Canis lupus familiaris: one gene and its partners. The protein of the gene in region 4 interacts with the protein of the main gene of each other region in a pairwise test. Links are inferred from orthologs where the notes say so. Each region holds a gene or a part of one and is shown on either strand. Other genes may lie near its edges. The genes, in order: SNX11, TUFM, MYG1, ARL6IP1, SNX12, SUCLA2 and SNX15.

What was found.
Region 1: the proteins of ARL6IP1 (region 4) and SNX11 interact in binary tests that used the Homo sapiens proteins (3 or more experiments, as listed by UniProt). The two-hybrid records come from large-scale screens. The link is inferred for Canis lupus familiaris from reciprocal best matches to the Homo sapiens genes ARL6IP1 and SNX11.
Region 2: the proteins of ARL6IP1 (region 4) and TUFM interact in binary tests that used the Homo sapiens proteins (3 or more experiments, as listed by UniProt). The two-hybrid records come from large-scale screens. The link is inferred for Canis lupus familiaris from reciprocal best matches to the Homo sapiens genes ARL6IP1 and TUFM.
Region 3: the proteins of ARL6IP1 (region 4) and MYG1 interact in binary tests that used the Homo sapiens proteins (3 or more experiments, as listed by UniProt). The two-hybrid records come from large-scale screens. The link is inferred for Canis lupus familiaris from reciprocal best matches to the Homo sapiens genes ARL6IP1 and MYG1.
Region 5: the proteins of ARL6IP1 (region 4) and SNX12 interact in binary tests that used the Homo sapiens proteins (3 or more experiments, as listed by UniProt). The two-hybrid records come from large-scale screens. The link is inferred for Canis lupus familiaris from reciprocal best matches to the Homo sapiens genes ARL6IP1 and SNX12.
Region 6: the proteins of ARL6IP1 (region 4) and SUCLA2 interact in binary tests that used the Homo sapiens proteins (3 or more experiments, as listed by UniProt). The two-hybrid records come from large-scale screens. The link is inferred for Canis lupus familiaris from reciprocal best matches to the Homo sapiens genes ARL6IP1 and SUCLA2.
Region 7: the proteins of ARL6IP1 (region 4) and SNX15 interact in binary tests that used the Homo sapiens proteins (3 or more experiments, as listed by UniProt). The two-hybrid records come from large-scale screens. The link is inferred for Canis lupus familiaris from reciprocal best matches to the Homo sapiens genes ARL6IP1 and SNX15.

The regions. Positions count from the first base shown.
Region 1 is NC_049230.1:24,345,074-24,349,366, reverse strand, and holds the start of SNX11 (sorting nexin-11), read right to left. Parts: upstream 2,801-4,293; 5' UTR 2,652-2,800; coding exon 2,644-2,651; exon of another isoform or gene 2,185-2,643; coding exon 2,125-2,184; exon of another isoform or gene 1,737-2,124; intron 1,176-1,736; coding exon 1,121-1,175; intron 1,028-1,120; coding exon 953-1,027; intron 691-952; exon of another isoform or gene 685-690; coding exon 598-684; exon of another isoform or gene 506-597; intron 407-505; exon of another isoform or gene 290-406; coding exon 189-289; intron 1-188. UniProt on the Homo sapiens protein: Phosphoinositide-binding protein involved in protein sorting and membrane trafficking in endosomes. Regulates the levels of TRPV3 by promoting its trafficking from the cell membrane to lysosome for degradation.
Region 2 is NC_049227.1:18,524,284-18,528,282, forward strand, and holds the start of TUFM (elongation factor Tu, mitochondrial), read right to left. Parts: upstream 2,801-3,999; 5' UTR 2,646-2,800; coding exon 2,603-2,645; intron 2,500-2,602; coding exon 2,305-2,499; intron 1,850-2,304; coding exon 1,683-1,849; intron 1,429-1,682; coding exon 1,324-1,428; intron 1,234-1,323; coding exon 1,069-1,233; intron 917-1,068; coding exon 784-916; intron 703-783; coding exon 598-702; intron 486-597; coding exon 334-485; intron 227-333; coding exon 107-226; intron 1-106. UniProt on the Homo sapiens protein: GTP hydrolase that promotes the GTP-dependent binding of aminoacyl-tRNA to the A-site of ribosomes during protein biosynthesis. Also plays a role in the regulation of autophagy and innate immunity.
Region 3 is NC_049248.1:44,742,651-44,746,833, reverse strand, and holds the start of MYG1 (MYG1 exonuclease), read right to left. Parts: upstream 2,801-4,183; 5' UTR 2,786-2,800; coding exon 2,567-2,785; intron 2,479-2,566; coding exon 2,366-2,478; intron 1-2,365. Other genes in the region: PFDN5 (prefoldin subunit 5), read right to left, coding at 3,127-3,203. UniProt on the Homo sapiens protein: 3'-5' RNA exonuclease which cleaves in situ on specific transcripts in both nucleus and mitochondrion. Involved in regulating spatially segregated organellar RNA processing, acts as a coordinator of nucleo-mitochondrial crosstalk.
Region 4 is NC_049227.1:26,551,224-26,555,437, forward strand, and holds the start of ARL6IP1 (ADP-ribosylation factor-like protein 6-interacting protein 1), read left to right. Parts: upstream 1-1,414; 5' UTR 1,415-1,537; coding exon 1,538-1,573; intron 1,574-3,800; coding exon 3,801-3,934; intron 3,935-4,214. UniProt on the Homo sapiens protein: Positively regulates SLC1A1/EAAC1-mediated glutamate transport by increasing its affinity for glutamate in a PKC activity-dependent manner.
Region 5 is NC_049260.1:55,636,610-55,640,034, forward strand, and holds the end of SNX12 (sorting nexin-12), read right to left. Parts: coding exon 3,414-3,425; intron 2,841-3,413; coding exon 2,716-2,840; intron 2,321-2,715; coding exon 2,218-2,320; 3' UTR 501-2,217; downstream 1-500. UniProt on the Homo sapiens protein: May be involved in several stages of intracellular trafficking.
Region 6 is NC_049243.1:3,404,670-3,408,667, reverse strand, and holds the start of SUCLA2 (succinate--CoA ligase [ADP-forming] subunit beta, mitochondrial), read right to left. Parts: upstream 2,801-3,998; coding exon 2,711-2,800; intron 1-2,710. UniProt on the Homo sapiens protein: ATP-specific succinyl-CoA synthetase functions in the citric acid cycle (TCA), coupling the hydrolysis of succinyl-CoA to the synthesis of ATP and thus represents the only step of substrate-level phosphorylation in the TCA.
Region 7 is NC_049239.1:52,668,194-52,672,419, reverse strand, and holds the start of SNX15 (sorting nexin-15), read left to right. Parts: upstream 1-1,426; 5' UTR 1,427-1,582; coding exon 1,583-1,681; intron 1,682-4,226. UniProt on the Homo sapiens protein: May be involved in several stages of intracellular trafficking. Overexpression of SNX15 disrupts the normal trafficking of proteins from the plasma membrane to recycling endosomes or the TGN.

The DNA of each region.
Region 1 (4,293 bases), on a different chromosome or scaffold from region 4:
TAGGTCAAAATGCTAGAACTTTTGTCTTTACTTTTTCCACTGACTTGAAAACATAATTTAAGAACACATGTCTTGATTTCCTGAGTGCCTGACATATTGCCAAGTTTTCGTTATTGTAAACTCTGGTTCTCACGTACATGCCTGAAAAACCAGTCTCAGACCCAAGAAAGAAGCAGAAGCAAACTCACACTAAACCAGCATTTCTCTGCAGCTGCTTTCTCAGCCACACGAACTCACGATATCGGCGACGCACACAAGATGTCTTGGCAGTAAAGGCTTTGCTGTTGGTCTACAGGAGGAAGCATGTGAGAAAGAAAAAAGCCAAGGAGAAAAAGACCAAATTCACACATATCCCCATCATCACTCTGACGGAGGATCCAAGCCACCAGGCCACAGTCCAGATCAGGTGCTCCAACTTGAGCAAGGTGCCACCAGGCAGACTGAAAGCAACTCTACAGCATACCCCAAGCTCATTCCTCACCTCTCTCTCTTTCCTCTGTCTCAGGACTGTCAAAATATCCAAAAACAGGCTCCACCTCTGCTCTAGCCCTCAGCCCTGGAGAGTGCTGACCCCGTACAGAAGGCTGATGCACTTACGTGGAGAAAGATCTTATAATCCACATAAGAATTCCAGGAGCCCTCATTCTGCACTCGGGGGTCCTGAACACGCACGGTGATCACCTCCTGGAGGTAAGAAAGGCTCCTTCAGATTCAGCTTGGCCACATAATAAGGCAGCTTTGACAATACAGGTTGCCAGATTTTTCCAATCAGCACCAACCATTCATTTATTTATTCATTCAATTCAACAAATATTTATTGACCGCCCACTATGTGTCAGACAGTTCTAAAGCATTGGGAGTAATACATAAACAAGAGACAAAAATCTTTGCCCTTGTGAATCTGACATTCAACAACATTCCAATGAATGGGGAAAGTTAGTGAAAATGGAACCTCATTTCCCAGGAATGGCTTTACTATGGATATCCTTCTTCTGCCGTTGAGCTCATCAGAACCCCCAAGGTATTCCTGTCATTAGAACACCATGCAGCAATGATAGGCATCTTTACCCAAGTCCCATCAAACTTCTACCCACCTGTTTCCTGGAGACCACACGCTTACCTCCTGCTCTTGGTTTTCCAACATCCTAAACCAAAAGCCCATTGGAAGAAAACATCTGATGGGGGACAGAGGACAGGAGAACAATCATTGTTAGCATGCCTCTATTTTTATCATTCTTTACCAAGAAAAATTTTCATTGATTCCCCCCTGGGAAAACCCAGGCACCTTTTTTTGTTTTTGTGTTAAACTTAAGAGGAAGCAAAAAAATTCCCATACCTTAGCTCAGTGCCAAGCTAAAAGCCCCAGGGGATTTGCCCCTCTTTGCAGACCACAGCCAGGACCTTTACCTAGGCCACGTCTAGCCCAACAAGGCATGTTTAGGTCTGTGAAGCGTTCAGGTCAGGTAGCCAGAATAGGCAAGTTCAAGGTCAGACCTTTTCTGCTAAGGACTGCAGGTGAAAGTCTCTTTGGGGCACACAAGAGCCTCTGCAAGTGAGCCTGACACCGCCCCCTCCTGGCAGTTTAGAGACAATTAAGCCCCACCAACACCAAGGCTCTGAAGTCTGTCTTGCTAAGTCATCACCTACCCAGAAGTCAATCAGGGAGCTGGGGAGCTCAGGGAGCACCTGAATGGGCTGCCCAGTTTCGACCTTCCCTTCTCTAATCTGTTCTCCAGAACCCAAGCCAATGGTTCCAGTCATTTCCTCTCTCGATATGCTATCCGGTTTGTACCAATGCCCAAGTACCCCACAGCTGCACAGGTCGGCTCGGGATGTTTTCCGATCCTTTGTAAAGATTCATTAAAGCCTAAGCCCCTGATTTCCCCCAGTGTGGCAGTTTACATGTGCAGCGACATCGCCCACTCCAACAAGGGGCCCATGAAGCCTCCAGCGCTGGGTTACTCCAGTCCAAAGGGGCCCATGATGTCACCTTCTGTTAAAATACAGCACTAATCTTGTTACTCCTAGAACCACTCCAACAGCATCCACCCTGGCTGCCGCCTCCACCCCCTTCTCCTCTCTTAAGAGCGGAACAATAAGGTTTAATTTCCCTTTCCAATTTACCTTGAAATGAAAACTGACTTCAGCCAATATGTACTGCCAACAAATGATCCAGGCCGGCTCCTGGGAAAACAAGACTATCTCTAAGCTCTCTCTCTCCTCCCCCCATACCCATTCACACACCCACTCATTTTTACAGGCCTACAATTAATTTTAAACACATTCTCTTATTAGTTTTGCCTTACCATTAGAACCGCGTGTAATGAGTTTCCTTCTATTTTATGTTTTGCTAACACAAGGCTAACGTTTCAAGAGAAGGGGAACTCATTTACACCGCAAAATTAGCAGAGCAAACAGCTTTCCCAAATCTTTCCAGTACACCAGAAGGTCTCTCCACACACAGCCACTGCACAGGGATAAAACTGCATGGTGTATGATAGGACTGGACTACACCGTTGAGCAAGCCAGAGGTTTTGTGACTGCGATACCATCGTTGCACTTTTGCCAACAATCTGATTTTTCATCTGATGCAGTCACCATCACAAAGGCATCCTGAACTGAAAGGAAATTCCAATTCCTTACCAACCCATGTGTAACGTCCCCAATGTAAGCAGTCAAAGGGTTGTGACCAGGGCAGCCCAAGTGGCTCAGCGGTTTAGCGCCGCCTTCAGCCCAGGGCGTGATCCTGGAGTCCTGGGATGGAGTCCTTCGTCGGGCTCCTTGCATGGAGCCTGCTTCTCCCTCTGCCTGTGTCTCTGACTCTGCCTCTCTGTCTCTCATGAATAAATAAATTTTTAAAATCTTTAAAGAAAAAAAAAAAAAGGTTGTTACCAAAAAGAACAGACCGGCTGGTGAACAACTAACCTTTTAATTTTTTTCTCTTTTCAGGTATTTGGTAAATTGCCAGCACAAGAGCAGAGAGTTAAATATTCTGAAATCTCTTTTCACAAAAGTAACGATGGGCAAAATGACAAGGCAATTATCATCCACACACTCAGTGGACCTCACACATCTCCTGTGCCTTGAAAGGTTTGTCAAATTCAGGACCATGATTTAGTAACCAAGTGATCATCATTCTCAGGCTCAAAAAGAGTTTGTCTAGGGGAAGAAAAAAAAAAAAGAGTTTGTCTAGGACCCTGAACCATCTGCAAATATAAGTTTCTCTCCTTTCCTTTGGAGCTAACACCACTCGGAAACGAATGGCTTAAACTGGCTTTCAAAAAAAAAAAAAAAAAAATCCTAGCACCCCTGCCCCAAGATGCTGTATACTTAAATCTAAGTTTAAAGGGCACTAACAAAGTTTCCATTTTAACTTTTCCTTAAAAACACTGGACATTGGAACAAACACAAAAACCTAGATTCGGAGTCATAATTTCTAGCAATTACCCTTCCCACCAGCTTCCTCCACACAGATGCCACTCCTCAGCAGGAAATGAAATGAAGCTCAGTTCTGTCCAGGGAGGGGAAGAAGGAAGTTCCTAACTCTAGCTCGTGATCTGGGAAATAGAGTGGTCATGCCAATAAGGATAAGTCAGCGATCCTCTCAGCTATGTCTGCATCTCACGTGGCACTACATTTCCTGGGTCCTTTCAACCACATGTGAAGCTCCCTTTACTTTCTCCACCCCTACCAACACCAATCTCTCTGAGAACGCAGTCGTTTGCTTTTTACAAAGATTCCTTGTAAAGGTTTCCTATGTCCTAACAATTCAACGTAGCAATTCAGGGCTTTCTCAGCACCATCCTCACTCCCATTTAAACTACTTCAAAAAGGCAGGTTAAAAAACAAATCAGGTAGGGAGCCTGGGTGGCTCAGTCAGTTCAGCCTCTGCCTTCGGCTCAGGTTATGATCCCAGGGTCCTGGGATCGAGCCCCACATCAGGCTCTCTGTTTACCGTCTGCTTCTCCCTCTCCCTCTGCCTGCTCTTGCTCTCTCTGTCAAATAAATAAATAAAATCTTAAAAAAAAAAAAAACCTCAGGTGATAAGTGTTTTGAGCTACCAAGACTCCTAATCCCTTCTCAGTCATTCTTGAGCCCCTGATGCCAGAGGACCCAGAAAGCTCTCCTTCCTAAACACCCACAGGTGGTAGAGGATGCTCCCTCTCCTGACCAAGTTCCCAACCCAGCAGCTCTGCTCCATGTCGTCCCTCCGTAACTTGTCGCTCGCTACACTTGGAAGATAAATCACAACCGCGACCACAGTCTAGCGCAAGAGCCGGCCTCTGTCCTGTG
Region 2 (3,999 bases), about 8.0 Mb from region 4:
CAAGGAAAAGTCACCCATGTTGTCACATAATTGGAACTGTGAGTAGATAGAGCTGATAACGAAGAGTGTCTCTTCTACTTCTTCACATTCCCTGTACCCACCATACCTTCCCTGGTGGCAAGATAACCCGACAGGCCATGTCCCAAGTCAGGGAGAACATGACAGGCATGAAGTGGGACACAAAAGGCTTATGGCGGCCACCCTCTTCTTTGCTGAGGATATAAACCTGCAAGAGAGAGAACAAGGGTGAAGCTATGCTTGGTTGGAAAGACTGCCTCTGCATGGGGCAGTTTGGCTCAGCACTGCCCATCCTCATTGGGAGCCCTCCCTCACCTGTGCCTCCACCTTCTGGTGGGGCTGGATGGATCCTGGCTTAGCCATGACCAGGCCACGCCTCAGGTCCTCCCGCTTCAAGCCTCGGACCAGGGCCCCCAGGTTGTCGCCTGCCTCTGCCCTCTCCAGACTCTTGTGGAACATTTCAATACCTAGGAGGGAGGCGAGACAAGGGAGGAGGGTCTAGGGCAGAGGGAAGGCACAAAGGATCTGCAAGGGAAATCCTGGAGCCAGACCCTGGGTCCCAAGGCATCTTTCCCATACCTGTTACCACAGTGCGAATGTTCTTGCTATGTCCCAGGAACTCACACTCATCTCCCTTCTTCAAAATGCCACGCTCTAGTGTACCTGTCACCACCGTGCCCCGGCCTGGAAAAAAATAGGACAGGACATCAGGTATTCTGGATCAGGCTATAGCTAGAGAAGGGTGCAAGTGAACAGGGTCCTCACCAGGAATAGAGTAAATGGACTCTACAGGCAGCAGGAAAGGCTTCTCCAGGTCTCGGGTGGGTACTGGGATGTAAGTGTCCACAGCATCCAGCAGCTTCTGCACAGACTTCACGCCTAGCTCGGGGTCTCGTTGCTATGGGGGGAGATGACAGGATTCTGAAATTGTCATTCTGTTCCTCTTACTAAGAGATGCTCCCCAGACTCAAAGCAAAGCTCTGGACACCCATCCAGCCCCATCCGATGCCAGTAACAGCCCTTGCCTGACCCCCTCCCCCCCCCCCTCACCTCAAGGGCACAGAGGGCAGAGCCTATGATGACGGGGGTCTCTTCCCCTTTGTAGCCAAACTCAGTGAGCAGTTCCCGGATCTCCAGCTCAACCAGCTCCACCATCTCAGGGTCTTGGACAGCATCTGCTTTGTTTACGTACACCACAACATGCTCTACTCCAATCTGTGGATGGCAAAGAGAGAGAAATAGTATCCTGAATGGACCCAATTTCCCACTCTTTCTCTTTCCACCCCTCCCCAGGCTCTTGAGTACCTGTCTGGCCAGAAGCAGATGCTCTCGGGTCTGGGGCATAGGGCCGTCATTGGCCGCCACCACCAGGATGCAGCCATCGAGAGGGGCGGTGCCTGTGATCATATTCTGAGTAGGAAGAGAGGAAACAACAGCCCAGTTCAAGGACCCCCTCACCTCAGCTCCAAATCCGTCTAACCAAGCACAGCAGTTAGGAATGGAGGCCCACCTTTTTCTGCTATCTCCTTACCACCCACTTTGAGTGGCTATGCCCAGAAATCCAGGACCTCAACCCATGCACCCTGAATATCCTAACCTCTCCACAAGTCCAACATTTTTTCTGGTGGGAGACAGCCCCTGACCCTGTACCCAGCAACACTCACCTTAACGTAATCTGCATGACCTGGGCAATCTGTGTGGGCATAGTGGCGGGCAGCAGTGCTGTACTCGACGTGAGCCGCGTTAATTGTGATTCCTCGGGCTCGTTCTTCAGGGGCATTGTCAATCTCTTCATATTTCTTAAACTTGGCTCCACCTCCCTCGGCTAAAACTAAGGGGAAGGAGAAGAATAAGCCTCTCAGATGAAGTACCAGAGGTAAGGAGGCAAGGCTTAAGCCACACCGAGTCCCTCCCACCTACTATACAAAAGGACCGTCGGCCAGAATAATGTGTCCATGACACACCCTCAGCTCCTGCAGTGGGTGTAACTCGGGTCAGAGGGAAATGTAACAAGGCCTCATGGTCCAGCCCTGCGACTTCTCTAGGGTAAAGCACCCTCTGCCTACAGGGTACTGGCCACGACAAGAGAGAGGCCATTCCGGCTCCCCAGCTTATGCATCACAAAATCTTTCACGTTCAGGAGAAATGTGTTTCCCGCATCTTGCAATCCACTGCCCGCAGGGTTCTGGCTCCTGGGGCCACAACACTTCCAGCAGCACCTCCCCAGCTCCAGGTCTCTCCTGCTGGGCGGGCGCTTCCGGACGCCCCCGACCCATCCCCGCTTACTCTTGGTGATGGCCGCGGTCAGTGTGGTCTTGCCGTGGTCCACATGGCCGATGGTGCCCACGTTCACATGGGGCTTGTCGCGCACATAGGTCTTCTTGGCCTCCACGGCCAGGCCACGGCATAAGCGGGGCAGGGCTGGGGCCTTCAGCGGCCGCAACAGACCCTGCAGCAGGGAGGTCGGGCCGGCGCCGAGACCTGCCGGGGCAGAGGCTGGGAGTCAGGGCGCGGGTCCGATCCCGGCCGCTCGCGACAACCCCCACGTGGCCCCGCGCCGCCATGGCCTTCCCCGCCCCCTCACCGCTCAAGAGGGGCGTCGCGCGCAGCAGGGTGGTGGCCGCCATGGTGGTCGTACTCGAGCCCCGAGTGCCGGGTCCCGGGCGCCCGCGCGTGCTGAAAGGGAAGGGCACGGGGGACTGGAGGTCACTTCCGGCGGAAGTGAAGGCCCAGAGCACAAGTCTGGGTCTCTCTAGCCTCCAGTCTTCATGGCCATCATACGACTTCCGGGCGTAGGACCCAAGACAAGGCCGGGAAGGTGCCGGTGTCTCGAGGGCGGGGAGGGAGGGAGGTTTCCGCAGCGCCCTCGGGCCTCGCGTGCTGATGAGGGCAAAGCGGTTGTCTCTGGCGGCGACGTGGAGCGTCCGGTCTCTCCCCAGCGCCGCGGAGGCTCACGGGCGTTGTAGTTCCCGGGGCGGCGCGCTGTGTTTGCGCGGGGCCTGGGAGTCAGGTAGGGCTAGGCGGGGTCGGGAGCGAGGGGGCCGGCCTCCAGGAGCCCGAGGCGGCGGCCAGGGCCCGGGCTGCTCGGGGGCGTTCTGGCCCAGAGCCCCCGGGAGGCCGACGCACCGCGCGGGTCTGGCGAGAGATCTGGCGGCCGTTGAGCCGCCGCTGGAGGTAGGATCAGGCCCTGCGGCCAGGCTGAGACACACGGGCCTGGAAGCCTTTCGCGGGTAGCGCGCAAATGTGACCCATCTCTCCGCTGAGCCTTTGTTTTCTTATCTGTAAAATGGGAACAGTAGTATCTACTTCGTGGGGAGATTCTGACATCTGGCCCTGAGAGGAAATGAGCTGGACAGGAGGCAGCAATGAGCCCAGGGGCCTCCGGGCCCCACAGTCCTTGACCCTCAAATACCCGCCCTCGGGCTCACAACCTGCGGGGAGAGACAACTTGGCCGTCCACCCCTGGGGCCCCCCAGCAGGCCAGAGACTAATTCCCTTGATCGCTACCCAGTTAACGCAGATGGTACCGAGGTGAGGGACCCGCCGCAGGTGCCCATACCCGCAGCCTGAGTCTTTCTTGTTCCTGCAGTGTCCCCAGCACCAAACATAGGGTGGGGCACCCAGTGAGCGCTCAGGAAACTTCTGTTGACTGAACAAGTGAGTGCAAACCTCGCAAATGACCTTTAACTTTCACCTCCATCATCTCATCACCCTGGGATGAGAATGGCAGTGCTTAACCCAAATGGTGTTTCCCAAACTCATCAGATCCTAAGACTCCACCCATGGTTTTTGTTTCAAATAGATCCCCTAATTCCTCCCTTGAAGATTATAATTCAGGAGGGTCTGAGCACAGACAGGGAAACTATTTATTATACCACACGCTGTTTCCCACGCTCCAAAACTCAGAGCTAGAGCTTTGTGTGTGTATCAGGCATTGTGCAAATGCTTCGTATAGGCTCACATTCAAGGCACCCATGTTGC
Region 3 (4,183 bases), on a different chromosome or scaffold from region 4:
GTATAGGCACGAGGGGGCGGGGCTGGAGAACGCTCAGGAGTCGGGAGGAGAGCGCCTGGGTGCGGGAGCTTCAGCTTCTCCATGGGGATCAACACGGACCTCAGCTTGGAGTCTGTTCATGCTTTCATTTGACAATGGTGAATTCACTGCTCTCTACATGCCAGGCTTCGTGTTTTACACATCAGGGATAGAGCAAACCCTGAGACCATGTCCCTGCCTTCAAGTTCACCTACTACCGGCAGACACGCAGGCACACCACCAGGCTAATGCTCTTGGTAGGTTATAAACAAGGCAATGGGGGTGGGGTGAGAAGAGCGACTTCAGGTCATTCCTAAAAGATGAATTAGGTGTTCACCGGCCAGACAAAAGGCGAAGGAGAAAAGGCATCGCAGGCAGAGGGACCAACATGTATGATGGCTGAGACAGGTCTCTACACGGAACTGCAAGAGAGGCAGCTTGGGTGTGACGAGTGGCAAAAAAAAAAAAAAAAAAAAGCAAAGCTAGAAGGGTAAGCAAGGGCCAGATCATGGCAGGCCTCGTCCACCATATAGAAGAGTCTGGGAGTAGGGAACCTGAGAACTTGAGCGGACAAGCTCAGGGTAGAGCGCTGTGCCAGGCAGCATGCGGAAATGCAGACCACCTGCAGTGCTGGCAGGGGTGAGAAAGGTAGACACACCTGAATTCTACTGATATGACAGATCTTAGGGAAGCAGAAGCTACAGCCGTAATTTCTAAATACCCATCCATCAGAATCACCTAGAGCTTATTTTTTTGTGCTTTTTATTACTGAGTATATAAAAACATCTATAAAACATTCATAAGGCATAAAAATGAATACAGAATAAACCCCCAGGTAAAAATCCAAAAAGCAAAACTAAACTACTGAGAGAAACAGATGTGCTAAACTACACAGTAAACGGGGGTATGATGAACACAGAATTAAGGACACGGCCTACTTCTGGGGAGGTCGGGACATGGGACAGGGAAGAAGTGCCTGCGTACTGGTGCGAATATAACGGTAACCTTCTAGAGCTTAGGTTGGGAGATTGGCCGTTGGGTGTTCATTACATGCTTTATATTCCAAAAGCGTTGGGGTGCCTGGTGGCTCAGTCGGTTAAGCGCCAACTCTTCACGACTCAGGTCATGATCTGAGTTTCGAGACTGAGCCCTGGCCTCAGGGTCTCCACCAGGTACAGACAGACCCTGCTTAAGAGTCTCTCTCTCCCTCTGCCCCTCCCTGGGCTTGTGTGCACTTTCTCTCCATAAAAAAAAAAAAAAAAAAAAAAAAAAAAAAAAAGAAAGAAAGAACCCACCTAAAAATGTGTTAATAAATGTGTGATTTATTTTCATAAGGCATTTTCATAAGCATAACCTTTTCATAAGCATTTCCAAGGGAAAGACTGGGAGAGGACCAGCTAAATGGATGAACTGAATGAAGTGGAAGGGATGTGCAACCAGGGTCAGCTCTTCTGAAAAAAGGCTGAGAAGGGAGGGTAAGCGATGAGGTTATAAATGCCAGGATTCCCCCTCCATATTATTTATGAATTTATGAATGTAATATGTATGCTTAACAAAGAGGGACAGAAATACCTACGAATAAAATCGTCAATCTCTCAGAGATCACCACTGTAAGCAATGTGGTGTATGAGGGAGGGTTTTTTACTCAGTCCTTTGATTTTTTTTCCCCCCAAAGATTTTACTTATTTATTCATCAGAAATACAGAGACACAGAGAGAGAACCAGAGACCCAGGCCGAGGGAGAAGCAGGCTCCATGCGGGGAGCCGAAGCGGGACTCGATCCCAGGTCCCCGGGGTCCCGCCCTGGGCCGAAGGCGGCGCTAAACCGCGGAGCCACCGGGGCTGCCCCAGTCCTTTGATTTCCAGATGGGAGGGCGTGGGCAGAGTTTTAGGAAGTATAAGCCCTGGGGCAGACGGGTGCTGCTATGAACCTGCACACTGGAAAGGCTCAAGTTCCTTTGAAAAGGAGGAGGAATGGGCGGCCCGGGGGGCCCAGCGGTTGAGCACCTGCCTTCCGTCGGCCCAGGGCGGGACCCCGGGGACCTGGGATCGAGTCCCGCGTCGGGCTCCCCGCATGGAGCCTGCTTCTCCCTCGGCCTGCGTCGCTGCCTCTGTCTCTCATGAATAAATAAAATTAAAAAGAAAAAAGAGCACGGAGGACGAGGTAGGGTGACTCACTGCGGGAGCGCGATGCGCTGGGGGCCGGAGGGAGGGCGGGAGGCCCCCCCGGAAAGGACGCGCTCCCGGGTCGGAGCACAGTGAAGCGCTGACCTGACGGGGGTCTCGGCTCCCTCGGGGCCCTCGGGCCGCCGGAGTCGAGGTCAGAGCGAGGGCGCCGGGCACTGACCTCTGGTGATGGTCGTACCGGTGCCTCTGAGGGTCGTACTCGCCACCCACGTCTACCACGACGTCACAAGCTGCCAGTTTCTCGGGGTCCCGGGTCCGCACAATCTCCGCATCCTGCGGGGCACAGGAGGTGAGGGGGCGGCCAGGGTCGCGCAGGCGGAGCCCGGGGGCGGGGCGGGGCGGGGGCGCGACCCGGCCGTACCCGGTACTCGGGCAGGAGGCGCAGCAGCGCGCACGCCAGCGCCTCGTCGCAGTGGAAGGTGCCGTCGTGCGTCCCGATTCGGGCCGGCGCCATGAGGCCGCCGCGGGGTCGCTTGGGCGGCGGGACGGGCTCCGCGCGGAGCATCCGGGGTCCGGGCCGCGCGGGGGGCGGCGGCCGCAGCAGCCGCGGGAGGAGAGCGCGCGGGAAGCCGCGGCCCATGCGGCCTCCGGGGCCCGCGGGTCACGACCCGGAAGGGGAGGCGCCCGCGCAGCCGCACTTCCGCCGGAGGCCGTTCCCACGGCAACGGGCCCGCCCACCAGGCCCCGCCCCCCGCCTCTAGACGCTCAGTGCCGGGCGGGGCCGCAGCACCTCCGCCCCGCCCCCCGCGCACCTCCAGCCTCCGCGGAAAGCACCGACACCAACATTGGGCCCCGCGGGCACGTTTATTAGCACGAAGCAAGCCCCTCCCGTCCTGGGCCCCGGGAAGCCACGCCCACAAGGTCCCAGCTCCCGCCGCAGGAGCACTTGGCCCGTTTCTGAACCGTTTCTGAACCGAGCTTTCAGGCCTTGGCCGTCGCCTGAGTTGCCCCCAGGGCTGTGAGCTGCTGAATCTTCTGGCTCATCATCTCCATGACAGCTGTGGGGGAGGGAAAGAGGAGTCAGATCCTGGTCTGGAGCTTAAGTGGAGAACCCAGAGTTAGGAACCGTGAGAAAAAGTTAAACAGTTAATAAAACAAAACACTGAGGAGTGCCTGGGGCGTGCAGTCGGTTAAGTGTGGTACCCCTGGTTTGGGCTCAGGTCCTGATCTCACGGTCCTGAGAGGAGCCCCCCTGCCTGTCTCTGTGCTCAGTGTGGAGTCGGCTTAAGACTCTACCTTCCCCCTCTCCCCAATGCACTCTCTCAAAAACATTTTTTTTTAAGAATATTTTATGTGACACAGAAAGCTCAGACATGAGTGGGATGGGGGACCAGCAGAGGGAGAAGAAGACTCCCCACAGAGCAGGGAGCCCAACACAAAGCTTGATCCCAGAACCCTGGATTCATGACCTGGGCTGAAAGCAGATGTTTAACCAACTGAGCCACCCAGGCACCTGTTAAATAAATAAATCTTTAAAAACACCAAAAACTGGGCAGCCCGAGTGGCTCAGTGGTTTAGCACCGTCTTCAGCCCAGAGTGTGATCCTGGAGACCCAGGATCGAGTCCCACATCAGGCTCCCTGCATGGAGCCTGCTTCTTCCTCTGCCTGTGTCTCTGCCTCTCTGTCTCATGAATAAGTAAACAAAATCTTAAAAAAAAAAAAAAAATACCCACTTTTAACAGTGATCCACTGTGGGACATACTCACACAAACAAATTCACACTCTACAATGTGTCAGTAAATATGGTAACCAGTGGGACATAAAAATGAACAAATACAGTATTAAAAGAGTCAAACATAACCATGGATAAGATGTTCACCTTTAGAACAATGGTTCTCAATCCTGACTGTAACAGAATTACCTGGGGAGTTTTTTTAAAAAACACCGATCCTCTAGAATTCCCCATCCCCCCTTCCTAGGTTGATTTAATTGGTTTGGATTGGACATGGGCTTCCTTTTTAAACTTCCTGGGTTATT
Region 4 (4,214 bases):
TTAAGACCTTTTCATTTTCTTTTGAAGAGGGAGGGGGAGGGCCTGTTCTACAAACTTCACAGCTCTAAAGGCTCCCCAGACGCGATCTCTGTATCTATCCACGGCCTGCATCTTACCTACAAAAGCCTAGTTTCTCCCCAAAGTGGCACTTTATTGAAGAGTCCCCTTCCTTCGCAAAGGCCTTCTTCCCCGTCTCCCCGCCCCTACCCTCCGACATCGTGGTAAAAAGTCACACCCTTCCCTGAAATTCACCGAGCTCTGGAGCCGTGTCCTCTCAAACTCTTAGGAACCTGGGTAGTCTCTTAAAGTCACGTTTGTGGCATACTACAGGTCATCATAAAGAGGACTTAAAAGGCCGGAACGTAAAAAGCCACGGTGAGGTCTTCCGGAAACCTCTCTGATCGGGTCAACAGGTCAATGTCCCATTTATAACCACTGGCATGGTTTCGTTCCTATTACGGAAAACCAAAAAAACGCTTAATGCATTTTGAAATCCTGCAGAGAAAAGACGTGGGAGTCATTCGTCTGGTGCTAAACTGCTTACGAATCCACCCCACCCCCACCCCCACCCCCGAGGAGGGCGGTTTACCTCCTTGCTTAGCAAGACCTCTCATCTCAGGAAGGAAGGAGGTTCGGTCAACACCTGACCCTTCACGCGGAGGGGCGTCGTCGTCTCCTAAGCAACCCAAACGCCCCGCCCCGCCCCACCCCACCAAGGAGTTCCCTTGGAGACGCCCACGAAGAAGCCGACTTTGGAGAAATCGGTGCTTTTCCCCTCCCCACCCCCACCCCCCACCCCCCGTGTTGGAGAACTAAGCCCAGATTGCGCTCCTCCTCCCCCGCCCCTTCCTCCATCCAGCTAAGGCCTTACTCCTGATTGCTTGCACGCGGCGGACTGCCCTTTCCTCCCGGGGTGGGCACGAGCGTCCGAGCCGCGGGGCCGGGGGAGGGGGAGGGGAGGGGGACGGGGGCCCGGCCGGGGCGGCCCGAGCGGCGAATGCCACCGAGTGGCCGCGCGGGGGCGCAGCGAGGGCCACCGATCGCAGCGAGGTCGGCGTCACCGCGCCGTCCTCCTGATAACGCGGGGCGTGTTTTGTTTCCCCCAGGACTAAATCCCGAGAGCTAGCGCGGCGGGGCGGCCACCGCGGGTCACGCAGCCCGGGACCGGGGCGCGGGGGGGCCCCGCCGCGGCAGTTCAACCGCTCCCGAAAGGCCTGGGCGGGGCGTCCCACAGCTCCTGGGCGCTGATTGGCCGCTCCTTGTCCCCGCCCCCTCGGCCTGCGCGGCCTCGGTCTCCTTTGACCCCGATTTCAAGCCATGCGCCGGGCCGCGGTTGGTCGGGCCGCCCCGGAGCTTGAGTTCAATCCACCCAATGAGGAGCGGGCTTCGCGGGGCCTGTCGGGAAGGCTGGCTGGTGTATATAAGCGGCCTGCGGGGCGTCCCCTTCGCGCCTGGGTCGCCGTGCGGGTCTCGGCGCGGAGCTCGCTGTGTGCGGGAGGGGCCGGCTTGCGCTCGCTCGGGCGGCACTTCAGGGACGATGGCGGAGGGAGATAATCGCAGCACCAACCTCCTGGTGAGTCGCGAGGGGAGCAGGCAGGGGCCTCCGGGCTTGGGCGGGGGCTCAGCCTGGCAGCGCTCTTGCGGCCTCGTTCCTCCCACCGTGGTGGGCCCGGCCCTCCTCCCCCTCGGCCCCGGGTGGGTGCAGCGGGGCGGTCCCGGACCGGGCGGCCCTTAACACCCCGTGGGGCAGCTACGGGGCGAGGTGAGGACGGCGCGTGACCAGCCCCCGCGGATCGGGGAGGAAGTGGGAGAAGGGGGGGCTGCGATGAGCCTGGGGCGCAGGCCTCCAGGGGCCTGTCTGTCGAGCGCTTTGAACCCCAGGCCCCCAGGCTCTTCTACGGGGTTCCCCTCCTCTTCCCTTCGTTCTTTAGCCCCAATACTTGGGCAGGGGTGGGGGGAGGGGGGAGGACGGGAGAGGGGCGGGGAGGGTCAAAGGGCCACTGGCGAGAATTTGCTGGAGCTGGCGCAGCTTAAACCCGCAGGGAGGCTGTGAACTCACCGCGGGGAACTGGGATTAGAGGTCCAGCTGGAAGGACAGTGGGGAAGGACCTTGGGTTTGCCTGGAGTTTGCAAGGGAGGGGTGTGTGTGTGTGTGTGAGAGAGAGAGAGACAGGTGGACTTTAGAATAAGCAGGGGTCTGAAGGAACTGCAGTGGTGTCTCACGGGCGGATAAATCTAACCTACTTGTTTTCACGGCGCGATCTAGGCAAAAAACGAGAGAAATCCTTGCCTTTTTCTTTTCTTTTTTTTTTGTCCGTTGCCACAACGAAACAGCATTTCATCCTTGACGTTGGATATTCCAAGAGCCCGGGTGCTAACGAGTTTGGTGACCTTGCAGGGCAGCCGTGATGGTGCCAGATTTTCGTTTTGCATTGGTGTTTAGAAATGCACGGCCTGTTCCTGTAACGCACATGCCAGCACACTTGTCTGTGGCTAGCCGAGTTAGCTCCGGCCAAGTTCCAGTTAAGGGGAATTGATCGAAGCACAAAGAAATTGTCCAGCAAATTCACACAGTTTGTTGAGGTGACCGAGCCTGGCCCGAAGCTCAGCTGCTCTTTCCAGCAGAAAGCAGTGTAACTTTAAGCAGAACAAGGCCCTTGGCTTTGGATTTCCTGGGTTCAGATCTCTTAACCTCCATGTATCTGTTACTTCATCTGTAAAATGAGGCGAGTAACAATACCATCCTTTGAATTCATTGGGAGGATTAATTAAAGTATAAGCATATAAAATACTTAGAGCTTCTGGCACATAGTAATCTTCTGTTTAACTATATTAAGCGTGGTGTATATAAAGTCAGGAATGTTGAAGTCCCCCAAGTAATCAGTGTGGCACAGATAGATAGCATCTCTAGTAAGATTAGGCTGTCCTGTCCTCTCTCTTTTGTATATTTCCCCATGATAACATTTATAAGGGCATGTGGGTTTCTTTCTAGTTTTTTTCCTGTACCAAAATCAGTATAGGGTTTTTGTTTTTGTTTTTTTGTGTTTTTTTTTGCCACATTAGCTCATTCCAGAAGTCTACTTTCAGCTAGGTTGTCAGTCTTGCAGAGAAATTTGAAGTCTAACCAAATGTTCTGGTAAGTGTAAGAAGCACTCATTGTATGGAGATACACTGAGCTTGAGATGCCTCATGTAATTTGGTGAAAGTAAGTTTTACTTAATTGTGCAAATGATGCCAGCATCTAAAGGATTCCATTACACAGCGCTATTTTAAAAATTGAATGCTGTTCAGAGAGAGGCTTTCTTAATGGATTTAGAAGTAGGAGTATAAATCAATGAGATGACAAAACAACAGATCAATCAATTCTAACCACCTGAAAAATGAGCACATTTGAAGTGATCTAATTTTATATTTTGGGTGCTGCCACTTAGTGCATGACTTTGAGAAAGCTGGTTACCCATCTAAGGTCACTTAGATGGACCTTATCCATAAGGTCTTATAAGGATAAGGTCTCTTATCCCTACTTTGAGGGCCTCTACTAGGATTGTTAACATTATGTATGAAGAGTAGCCCAGTGCTTGGACTTGGTGACTTGGTGACTGTTAAATGGTAGGTTGCCACCTCCCCCCCCCTTAATTGATTTCTGTCTTGCTACCAAAATTGCAGAATTATTTAGAAACTAAGATAGTGATTTGATTGAGGGCTCTTTTACATTCTTGGTGTCTTAAAAAAAATTAACTGAGAAGCACAGAAATGTTGGGAGTGGTAAAATGATCACTTTACATGTTGGTCTTGTGTAGGCTGCAGAGACTGCAAGTCTGGAAGAGCAGCTGCAGGGATGGGGAGAAGTGATGCTGATGGCTGATAAAGTCCTCAGATGGGAAAGAGCCTGGTTTCCACCTGCCATCATGGGTGTGGTTTCTTTGCTGTTTCTGTAAGTGAGCTATTAAATTATTGTGGATTGTGCTTGTTATTAATAAGGGCTCAGGTAACACACAGCCTCTTTTGTAACCTATAATCTGTAAAGAATGCCTTTTCTTGGAGCAGTTCTCCTAGTTTTCAGTAACCTAAACCAGTTGAATAAATGAGTGGCTCTCACACTTTTTGGCCTAAAGAACCTTTATATTCCTAAAAAGTATTGAGGACCCCAAGGGGCTTTTGTCTCTTGATGTTTACATTAACCATTGCAGCTATGATGTCATCATATTCTGAAG
Region 5 (3,425 bases), on a different chromosome or scaffold from region 4:
ACTCATGTTCTCTCTTGCTCACTCTGTTCTCTCTACTAAGTAAATAAGTAAACTTAAAAAAAGAAAATAGTCTCAATTGAAGTATAAAACCTATGAAATAGTGTTTGTAGGTGGTATGTTGGAGGATGAGCACGTGCACACACGTTTACGTACACATATAGCATATGCATATATATGCATACACACACACAATAAATATATTCTGCCCAAATTAGAACCCACAAGCTTAAAACCCAAATTTGCTAAATCTAAACCACAGGTATTGAGCTCTATAGCTACTTCCTGCAAATAGATGCATTACCTCTGACAAAGTCAATTGGGAGTTGCAAAGATAGGTAACTATTGCTACAGGCAGCTAGGATTCTAGTTTTTTTTTTTTATTTAAATGTAAAACTTATCACCTCAGGACACTGACCATGTTGTATGATTTCTGCACAATACCAAGACTATCCTAGACACTAAAAAATACTATATTTACAACTTAAGCAGGAAAACAGAGGCTTGCTTCACAGTGGTTTAATATGAACAGAGTTGAATATGACATTGTCTGACAGAAGAATGAACAGTTTGCTGAATAAAAGCCCCGAGTCAGGATATATACACAGCAGAAATGGGGCCTCAGGCTTTCAGCACTTGTTGCACAATGAAAGAAGAACTCTTAAAAAAAGTCAATAACAGAAGATACAAAAGGCAGCAACAACACCAACACTGGGGAGGTGGGAAAGGGAGCAGAGACTCTCTAGGGGCTACTCAGCCCCTGGTACAGGCTCAGCAGGTGGAGAGCTGATCTGTCTCAGGGAACCTCAACATTTAGAAGGACTCCAAATCCTATGTCAAAATCCAATCCTAATTTCTCTTTTCAGGGTCTTGTCAGACTCCATAATCCTTTTCTCCAAGACCCCATATAGAGAATTCCAATCCTTCCATGATAGAGAGTCTAAGGGAAGAGTCCATACTTTTGACATGACACCAGTTAATTTGCTCCCACCCCACCACTGGAGATGGATATCAGGCCCCAGCAAACAAACCATCACCTCCCAGACAGAAGCCCAGGAAAGCTGCTTCAGACTCTAAGACTTGGGACATCCACACCCAGCTGCTATCTCTAGCTCAAATTCTGGGGAAGATGCTGGAGTTCTACAGGAAACATGTGCAGGCAGTTCAATAACCCTGTGACCAATCTGGGGAGGTCAGTGACAACTCTTGCCCCTGAGCCCCATTCAACAGCTCAAAGTGCTTAGAAGTCAGAGACTGTGGTTTGTTCACGTGCTTCTGCCCCATGGCAGCACTAAATGGGATGGGGGGAAGGGAGAATGGAAGGAGGAGGGTGGTGATACCCTTCCCTACCACTGGGAGGTACCTAGAAAATGATCCACTCCCACCCTTTGGGGAGTTACCTGGCAGTGGTGAGTTGCCCCCACCCCTCAAGCCACCAAACCTGCAAGGCTAACATGTAAAGTAGCAAGGGCTTGGGGAGGAACTGCTGGCCCATACTGACTCACCTGCTGATGAGCAAGAACAGGCAGCCAGAGCGGGGAGCCACAAAAGAGAGGGGCTAGACAATAAGAATTCTCCTACTGCCCTATGGCTTTCTTCTGACTGAAGCAGCCATGATGAGGGGCCCAGAAAACCCACACATCTTGCTCCACACAACAGACTGCTTAAACTCTAGGAGGATTTACTGCCATGAAAAGCAACAAGGAAGAGAAAGTAACAAAAGAAACTGTTGAGAAAACTGGGAGCAGGCCTAGAGAAAACAAGGAGAACATTTAGGTCTCTACCACCTTCCCCAAAAGGAAAAAGTTCATGCAGATAGGAAATGCAGGGTTGTTCCCTGCTCAGCGTTCCTGGTTAAACCTAAGAGTAAGAAAATCCCCTGGACTTGCAGCATCAGTATGTATCCAAGTGTATCCAGCACAAGACCCGCCCCCCCCATAAGATTAGCCTTCTGGCATGGGTAAATTGCCTTCTAATCCAATCCCCCCACCCGCACCCCAAGCAAAGGGCATCTGCCTGTGGTTCCCATCTCTCCTTAAAAAAGAGGATCATAGCAGTGTGCCCACGGTGTAGTCAGGTACCAAGAAATATAATGCCAGACAGTTTATCAGGCCAGGGGATGGGCAGCCAACTTCAGATCAAAGAAGGAGAGAGAGGCTTAGTGTAAAAATCAATGTCATTTTCAGCAGGAAAGTAGAGGGCAAGTGGTGAGAGGGGCTCCTACTGGCGCACCTTCCCGGGGACGTAGTTCCTGTCAATTGCCTCCTCCTGCAGGAACATGTGTAGGCAGCGTTCGTTCTGAGCCAGTGGGTGCCCAGCAATTCTATAAAGAGACCAAGATGGTTATCAGTAGTATTTGGGATCAGAGAGAATTCACAGAGTGACAGGGGTGTGGACAGGGGAAGAAGGGCAACGTCAGCTCTTTCAGAGGTTCAAGCAAGAAGAGGACAACAGGGCACCACTCCACCCTAATATTATATAGGAGAAGGGGGACAGAGAGGTAAAGCAGGGAGAAACCACCAAACACATCCAACATGCAGTACTTTCTCAGACCCTGAGGTACAGGATCAGAATTCTGCTCAAAGGAACGGAGTCTTACGATCCAGTCAGCTCAGCACACAACTAGCATCACATCTTATTACAAAGAGGAGACAGACAAAACATATAAAGACCATGATGGCAAAAGCAGCAAGAAGAGTCCCCAAGAACTTGGCTTACTTGTTAATAAACTGCTCGAGGCCCTGCCTCCTTTCTTCAATGAAGGACTCTTCAAAGATCCCTTCATCTCCTCGAAAAGGGAGCTGACGCTTCAAGGCTTTCCCAGGCAGTGGTGGTACTACAATCTGCAGGCAGATGCAAAATATCAACCACATGAGAGAGGATGAAGAGGGAATGAGGTGGTGAAACACTGTATACTTAATTTCCTATTAGGCAAGGTCTATCTTATCCCACAGCCAGCAACTTGTAAGAACTGAGACCATAAGAGCAGCCAAGATGGCTCAGGTCAAAAACCAACTGATTTTATGATAGGACTGGCCTTCTACCTCAAAAGAAAGAAAGGAAATAAACTCAAATATTCCTCACTCTCTTTAACAATCCACTAGCATCCACTAATTTAGCTAGGCCTTCCCTGACACTATACTTTACATTTTTAGCATCTATAGGAGTTTAAGTTATATGACTTTACTAGCCACTGATTCAAGTGATACGTTTTCTTTAAAATTTGTCCTGCACTTCACCGCTTTCAATTCAAGTTTAAAGGGTTATCACCCAGATCCAATGTGTTGGGATTTGATAGTGTTTAGCCCCCCCCACCCCCCCGCTGCCTTTAAGATTTTATAGACTATGATCTTATGCCTTCTCAGGCTATGTAGATATCCTCCTCCTAGGATCCCACACAGGGAATGGGGTCATACCTTACTATCTCG
Region 6 (3,998 bases), on a different chromosome or scaffold from region 4:
ATGCACATGTAATTTTTTTTAAAGATAAAGCAAATGTGGCAAAATGTTAAATTTAGATGAAAACAATATATGTGCTCACTGAAATGTTGCTGGAACATTCTACCAGTTTCAAACTTTTCAAAAAATAGCTCAAGGTAAACCAATGACACAAAGCTCTATTTTTACAATTTCTTTCAAATATCTATACTCACAAAGAATCAGTAGTACTCGTAGGGTAATGCTGGTAACTTTTATACCCCTTAGAGGTTTTTGAATATCTGAAGTATTGATAATCCTTTCCTTGTACCACTATAAGTTATGACTTGAAATACGACTTTTGAATTATGCTGGTAATAAATATTCCTGCATAATCACAAGGATTCCCACATTTAAGTCTTTGTCTTTCTCCACATTATCACTTAGCATATTCCTCCTGCCAAAAGGCCACCAATTCCTGGCCAAATCCCTATACTACCACCTATTTAGTCATTCACCTAGTTTAAATCATATTTATTAAAATGTGGGGAAAGGTCGTTACTGGGGGATCTGATTCACGACAACTGAGAAAATATTTTAAATTAGTTCATCTGCTCATAATCGGAACTATGTTACCAGATATATACTGGACAAAAGATACAGAGAAACTAGAAGGTGATCAGAGAATTAAACAAAATGTTTAAGAATGGGATCCCTGGGGGGCTCAGCAGTGGAGTGTCTGCCTTTGGCTCAGGCCATGCGTGACCCCAGGGTCCTTGGATCGAGTCCTGCATCGGGTTTCCCACAGAGAGCCTGCTTCTCCCTCTGCCTGTGTCTCTGCTTCTCCATCATGAATAAATAAAATCTTTTAAAAAAAAAGTTTAAGAATATTTGCTTAAAAAAAAAAAAAAGTATTTGCTAAACTCAATGTGTGACCTTGAATAAGTTTCCTAGGATCCTGAACCTCTGTGTCCTCAGGTACAGAAGGGGTTAGTCTTCAAAATTCTAAAGCTGTATTATTTAACGTGTGGGTGGGAAAGAAGAGATGTTACAAGACAACATATGAGGCACTTCCCTACAGAAAGACAAGAGGTTTTTAATAGAATATCCAAAAGGATAGATGAAAACATAGTTGTTCATCAAATCTTCATTTTCTAAAACTCATGAGAAGGAAGTTCAAGGCCAAAAAAAAAAAAATCACTTCTCCTGTTAAGAAGCTTACTCATGTAATTCACTGCCTCCAGGTTTAGACTATGAACAGCTTTAAAAAAAAAATCTAGATCAATTCATCTTTGTCATGTCTAAGGAGTTCATTTCGGAACAAAACGTAAAACTCTGAAATCGACTTGGAAGCCAATCACGCCCTTTCACAAGTTTCTTGGTGACAACGTTGAAAAAAAACAAGCCAAGGCTTCCTGGGGGAAAAAAAAAAAAAAAAAACAAGAGCAGATTGAAGTGCACAGGCTTTGGGGCCAGACACTTCTGGAATTACGCCTTAGCTCTGACTTCACCTGCTTTATGGCTGAGCCCCAATTACTTGTTCTCTAAGCCACAGTTTCTCCATCAACGATGAGAATATTGACAGCCCTTAAAGCGGAGCTGAAAAGCCTCCCTACAAGTAAGGGAGTAAAACTACAAGTAAGGGGCACCTCAGGGGTCGAGCATCTGCCTCTGGCCTAGGGCGTGACCCCGGGGTCCCGGGATCCGGTCCTGCATGGGTCCCGCAGGGAGCTGCTTCTCCCTCTGCCTGTGTCTCTGCCTCTCTCTCTGGATCTCTCATGAATAAATAAATAAAATCTTAAAAAAGAAAGGAAAGAAAGTACAAGTAAAATGCCTAGCTCAGCACCTGGCCCAGCTCAGCAGGTGTGGGGTCCAGCAGCGGGGGGGCTGGCCCACATGGTCACTGTCTGCCCGACAAGAGCTCAGGTTCAGGGGCAATAAGAGGGATGGGATCACACGCCCACAACCTGTGCGCGGCACACACTCCGGAACAAGAAAACCCAAACCAACCAACCAGAACTTGGGACCGCTGGGCTGCACTCTACCCAGAAATGAAGCGACCCAGAGGACCGCCGTCCGACCTCCCAGCTGGGTAAGCTGATGATCAACAGCATCTTGTCCCCACTGTTCACAAGCACAGGAGGAAACCGCCAGGCGGGGCAGGTGGGAAACTTGCCCGGCCTCGACCCCCCAGAAGGCCCGTCAGCAAGCGTTCCCGCCTATGACCGCTCCCAAGGGACCCGAGTCCCCCTGCAGGGCATCTCCCCCCCCCACCCCCCGCCCCTAGCAGGGCCGCGGGGCGACCTGCCTGCCTCTCCCCCCTCCCCCCCCGCACCTGCACGCAGAGGCGCCCCCAGCTCCCCGCATCTGCACCAGAGGCGCCGCCCGCCCCCCGCACCTGCACGCCCCTCCTCCCCGCCGCACCTGCGCGCAGAAGCGCCCCCCGCTCCTCCCCGCCCTCTCCCCTCCCCCTCTCCCTCCCCCTCCTCTCCCCCCTCCCTCCTCCCCCGCCGCCGCCGCCGCCGCCGCCGCCGCCGGGGCTCCCCCGGGCAGAGGACGAGCGCGGAGACGCGCGGTCAGGGCGGGCAGCCCTCCGGGACACGCCGCCCGTCGGCCCGGCTGGCGCCCCCGTGTCACCCAATGTCACCTATTGCGAAATGACCCCGAGCCGGGCCCGCCCGCAGGAGCCGGGTCTCCCACCTCGCCCTTTCTCCTGCCGACCCTCTCGAAGCGAGAGCCGGCGGGGCCGCAATACCTGGGCGGCGGCCCGCAGCGCCGGCCGGGACCCGCGGCTGCGGAGGGCGGCGGCGGCCAATCGCCGGCTGTAGAACACGGAGGCCGCCATTGCTGAGCCCGACCCCGTCCCCTCGCGGCGTGCGCAGGCGCAGTAGGCGCGGCGGCCGGCGGCCCAGACGCTCGGGCCGCGCGCTCCGGCCCCGCCCCTCCCTCCCTCCCTCCCTCCCTCCCTCCTCCCTCCCCTCCCCTCCCCTCCCCCTCCCCTCCCCCTCCTCCCTCCTCCCTCCTCCCTCCTCCCTCCTCCCTCCCTCCCTTCTCCCTCCTCCCTCCCCTCCCCTCCCTCCCCCTCCCCTCCCCTCCCCCTCCTCCCTCCTCCCTCCTCCCTCCCTCCCTTCTCCCTCCTCCCTCCCCTCCCCTCCCTCCCCCTCCCCTCCCCTCCCCCTCCTCCCTCCTCCCTCCTCCCCCGCGGCGGGCGGGCGGGCGCCTGGGTTCCCTGCATGCATGGGGGGGCGGGAGGGGGCGCAGGGGCCCGGTTCCCGGCGCTGGGGGCGCGAGTGACCTGTGCGGGGGGCGCGGGGGCGCGGGTTCCTTGCGCGAGGGCGCGGAGGGGGCAGGTTCCCTGAACGGGGGCGCGGGGTCCCAGGGTCCCTGCGCCGGGGGGCGCGGGGGCGCGGGTGACCTGTGCGGGGGCGCCGGTGACCTGTGCGGGTGCGCGGGGGGGGGGGGGGGGCCGGTGACCTGTGCGGGTGCGCGGGGGGGGGGGGGGGGCCGGTGACCTGTGCGGGTGCGCGGGGGGCGCGGGTGACCTGTGCGGGGGGCGCGGGGGCGTGGGTACCTGTGCGGGGGCGCGGGGTCGTGGGTACCTGTGCGGGGGGCGCGGGGACGCGGGTGACCTGTGCGGGTGCGCGGGGGTGGGGGGGGGCCGGTGACCTGTGCGGGTGCGCGGGGGGGGGCCGGTGACCTGTGCGGGGGCGCGGGGGGCGCGGGTGACCTGTGCGGGGGGCGCGGGGGCGTGGGTACCTGTGCGGGGGCGCGGGGTCGTGGGTACCTGTGCGGGGGGCGCGGGGGCGCGGGTGACCTGTGCGGGTGCGCGGGGGTGGGGGGCGGGTGAGTTGTGCGGGGGGCGCGGGGGCGTGGGTACCTGTGCGGGGGCGCGGGGTGCCCGGGTTCCCTGCGCGGGGACGCGGGGGGGGCGGGTGACCTGTGCGGGGGCGCGGGTTCCTTGCGCGGGGGCGCGGGGGGCGTGGGTTCCCTGTGCCGGGCCCCGGAGCCCGCCGCGCCCGCTCCGGCCCGCGGACCTTGCCCCG
Region 7 (4,226 bases), on a different chromosome or scaffold from region 4:
CAAGAAGACTTGGAGCCAGTCCTGCTGGGAGAGCTTGAGAGAGCAAAAATAATGTCTATAAGTGGCCTCTACGGGCAGCGGTTTAGCGCCGCCTTCGGCCCAGGGTGTGATCCTGGAGACCCGGGATCAAGTTCCGCATCAGGCTCCCTGCGTGGAGCCTGCTTCTCCCTCTGCCTGTGTCTCTGCCTCTCTCTCTCTGTCTCTCATGAATAAATAAATAAAATCTTTTTTTAAAAATTAAAAAAATAAAAATAAAAGGGATCTCTAGAGGTGTGTGTTGTTCAAGGGGACACCACCCCATCTAAGTCTCCTCCCAAACACCTCCTGGATAATCTACCCTATGTCTGAGCTTCCACCCGTCTCATTTGGGAGTTTCCTTTGTCTCTTTCTGGAAACTGGCAGTACGGTGCCCACCATAAGAGCGGCCGTGAGCACTTGAGCGCTTCACCCACGCTATCACTTTTAAACTTCACAACCTGGCTGTGGTGGTATCCATCAGAGTCCTCAACAGCTTGTCCCAGAAATGATCACAACTGCCTTCCGCAGAAAGGATGGTCTTGGGAAGATACTAAGATACTAACGCTGATTTGGGACAGCATCCTGATGGAGCTCTCAGGATGCCAGACATCAGGTTTGACAAACAGGGTGCCCAGAGGCTGGGCAGCTGAGCCCACAGCCAGCATTGCACATCATGAACAAATCAGTCCCCTTGCTAGGCACTGTGCACTCTGTTTCTCCCTCAAGAAACTCAAGAATTAGGCTTCTGGGGAGAGTCCTCCTCCCCTACCCAGGACTTGGGGCAAGGAAAGGAGCTGGCACCTTTGGATTCCAGGAGTAGGAGGCTGATGGGCTATACCTATTAGAGAACTACCTCCAAACAAAGATATGGTGCTAACAGAGAGGTGGGGGTGAATGCTGGACAGACCAGGAGGGGAAAGAAAGAAACATCCACTGCAGTAGATTCTATTAGAAACATTATAAACGTTCTAGAGAGGAGAAACTTAAGCTCAGGTAGTTAAGGGAAACTCATACAACTGGTAAGAAGTGTGACTTCAGAACCTGTGAGGCCATCCTCTTCTCTGGAGCTCTTTTTTGCTTCCCCTACCCTTGCAGAAAACATGAATTAGCGAATCCTACGGAAGGAAACAGGGAAATGATTTGGCTACATCTGCCACACACTCGGCACAATAAAAGTTGGGTGAGTGGATGAACGAAGGGGACCAGAAAGCATAGGAGAAGTCGTTTGGACACGTTTGATGGGGAAAGCTCGAGCACCTGTCAGCTAAGTGATCCCACCTCCCCGGTTCTTTTTTTTTTTTTTTTTTTTTTCCCCCACCTCCCGGGTTCTTATCTCTTAAACTACCTAGTTCACGCCTTACCCGCCACCGAGAACTTTTTAGACGCTCCCTGGCCGCACGCCAAGGCCAAGGACTGCGCCGTCACTTGCGACCCGCTCCCTAGGCTCGAGGAAGAAGGGCGCAGGCCTGGGAGATGCGGGGCCCGGCGGAGACTGACCTGGAGGGGCGGGGGCGGCGTTGAGGAGGCAGAGGCCGGCGGTCAGCCCCACTCCAGCTCGGTTGCCATGTCCCGCCAGGCGAAGGACGACTTCCTGCGACACTACACAGTCTCGGACCCCCGGACCCACCCCAAGGGCTACACCGAGTATAAAGTGACCGCGCAGGTGAGGTGGGCCCGGGTGGGGACCTTTACCCTTTTAACAAGAGGTGGGGCAGTGTTTTACCTTAAGGCAAGGCGCCGCTGGTCGCTCCCTTTTTAGACGACAGAAATGGATTTCCCCTTTAAGGGGAGCCTGCGGGTAGAGCCCCGGCTTACTTCGGAGCGGTCCAGTGGAGCGGCCCTGGGAGGGCGCTGTCCTTTTAAAAGGGCTTGGACCGTAGTTCTTGGAGTGGGAGGGGCGGGTTCCCACGCCCTACGTGTGGCGTCAGCACTGCGGGCTGTGAATTTCTTCAAATTAGCACGGAAACTCTGGCTCCGTGCAAATGTTAGTTCTCCAGTTTCTTGGATTAGGTTTGTGTGAACCGCTTGGTTTGATATTAACATAAAAGCCCTTTTTTTTCTTTAGTTTAATTTTTAATTTTCTTTCAAAAAAACTCTATGACTTTAAAAATCCTTACAGCTTAGGGATCCCTGGGTGGCGCAGCGGTTTGGCGCCTGCCTTTGGCCCAGGGCGCGATCCTGGAGACCCGGGATCGAATCCCACATCGGGCTCCCGGTGCATGGAGCCTGCTTCTCCCTCTGCCTGTGTCTCTACCTCTCTCTCTCTCTGTGATTATCATAAATAAATAAAAATTAAAAATAAAAATCCTTACAGCTCAAAGAGAATTTTAAAGAGTAAGTCAGAAAAAAAAAAAAGAGTAAGTCGGTCTGCAGCTTCGCAGTCAGAGCTGGAAGACAGAAAGTGAAGTTGATTATGGAGCAGTAACAACGTTATAGGCACATTTTACAGATACATAGGGGGAACCACGAGAAGGATTTAAAAAACAGTGTAAAAGAGTATCTGCAGAATGATATATAGGAGAGCTGGTTGGGGGAGACTTTTCACTGTAAATTGTTTATTACTTTTAGAATTTTAAACTAGAGGCACCTGGGTGGCACAGTGGTTGAGCATCTGCCTTTGGCCCAGGTTGTGATGCCAGTGATGCCAGGGTCCTGGGATAGGCCCCACATCGGATCCCCCATCGGGTTCCCCCGCAGGGAGCCTGCTTCTCCGTCTGCCTATGTCTCTGCCTCTCTGTGTGGCTCTCATGAATAAATAAATAAAATCTTAAAAAAAAAAAAAGAATTTTTAATTAGGCGACTATTAAATGGTACATTAATAACTATTAAGGGGAAGTTGCAAAGTGATTTAGGTGCAGAATCCTAGATGTTTAAAAGGAACTTTCCCTATTTCTTTTATGTCTTTTCCTTGTCAAATAAAAACAAGACACACATGCAGAAAGATAGTCCCTAAGAAGACTAGACTGGAGGGTGGCCAGGGACTGTACTCTTTTCTGATAAATCTTTCTGTTGGTTTTTTTTTTTTTTAATTTATTTATGATAGTCACAGAGAGAGAGAGAGTGAGAGAGAGAGAGGCAGAGACACAGGCAGAGGGAGAAGCAGGCTCCATGCACCGGGAGCCCGATGTGGGACTCAATCCCGGGTCTCCAGATTCGCGCCCTGGGCCAAAGGCAGGCGCCAAACCGCTGCGCCATCCAGGGATCCCTTTCTGTTAGTTTTTAAACATTCATTACTTTGATATGTTTTTATTATAACTTTTAAAGAGAAGTAATTTTCCCTCTTTTACCATCCCCATTCATCTGCCATCTTGGTGAGAATTAATGCCACTATGTCCTTCTTTATCCTTGCATATAAACCTTATATTTAAAAGCAGTTATGTGTACCTAGTTTATTATTTACACACAGTCTCACCGGTCACTTGCTGGTATTCCTCAGTTTTTTGTTGTTTCGCCTTGTAAATTTTCTAAACCAAAACAGGGACGCCTGGGTGGCTCAGAGGTTGAGCGCCTACCCTCACGCCCAGAGCATGATCTTGGAGTCCCAGGATCGAGTCCCACATCTGGCTCACTGCATGGAGTCTGCTTCTCCCTCTGCCTATGCCTCTGCCTCTCTGTGTGTGTGTCTCTCATGAATAAATAAATAAAATATTTTTTAAAATTCCACAACATAATTTATGTAAGTAATGCACGTAGATCCTAAGTGTATAGCTCAATAATTTTTGTATATGGATACATCTGCACTGGCAGTGCTCAGATCAGGATATAGACATTTCCCTCCCCCAGAGAGTTTCTTTGTACGTTTCTCATCTATAGTCCTCCTCTCAGAGAGGTAACCGTTGTCCTGACTTCTGTTCCCCTAGATTACTTTTGTCTGTTCTTGAGCCTCATACAAATGAAATCATATACACAGCAAGTACTCGCTTGTGTCGGGCCTTTTTCCTTCTCTATATAATGTTTTTTGGAGTTTATCCATGTTGTTGCGTGTTGAAGTAGTTTGTTCTTTTTTATTGCCATGTGATGGTAGCCCCTTGTATAAATATACCACCATTTCTTTATTAATTTTCTTGTTACTAGACTTCTAGGTTATGTCTAAAAAAATGTTTTCTGTTTTGTTTTTTTTAATGTTTAGTTGTTACGAGTTGTATGAACATTCATGTGCAATTCTTTTTATGGACATGTGCACCCATATTTTCTTAGTATGTACCTAG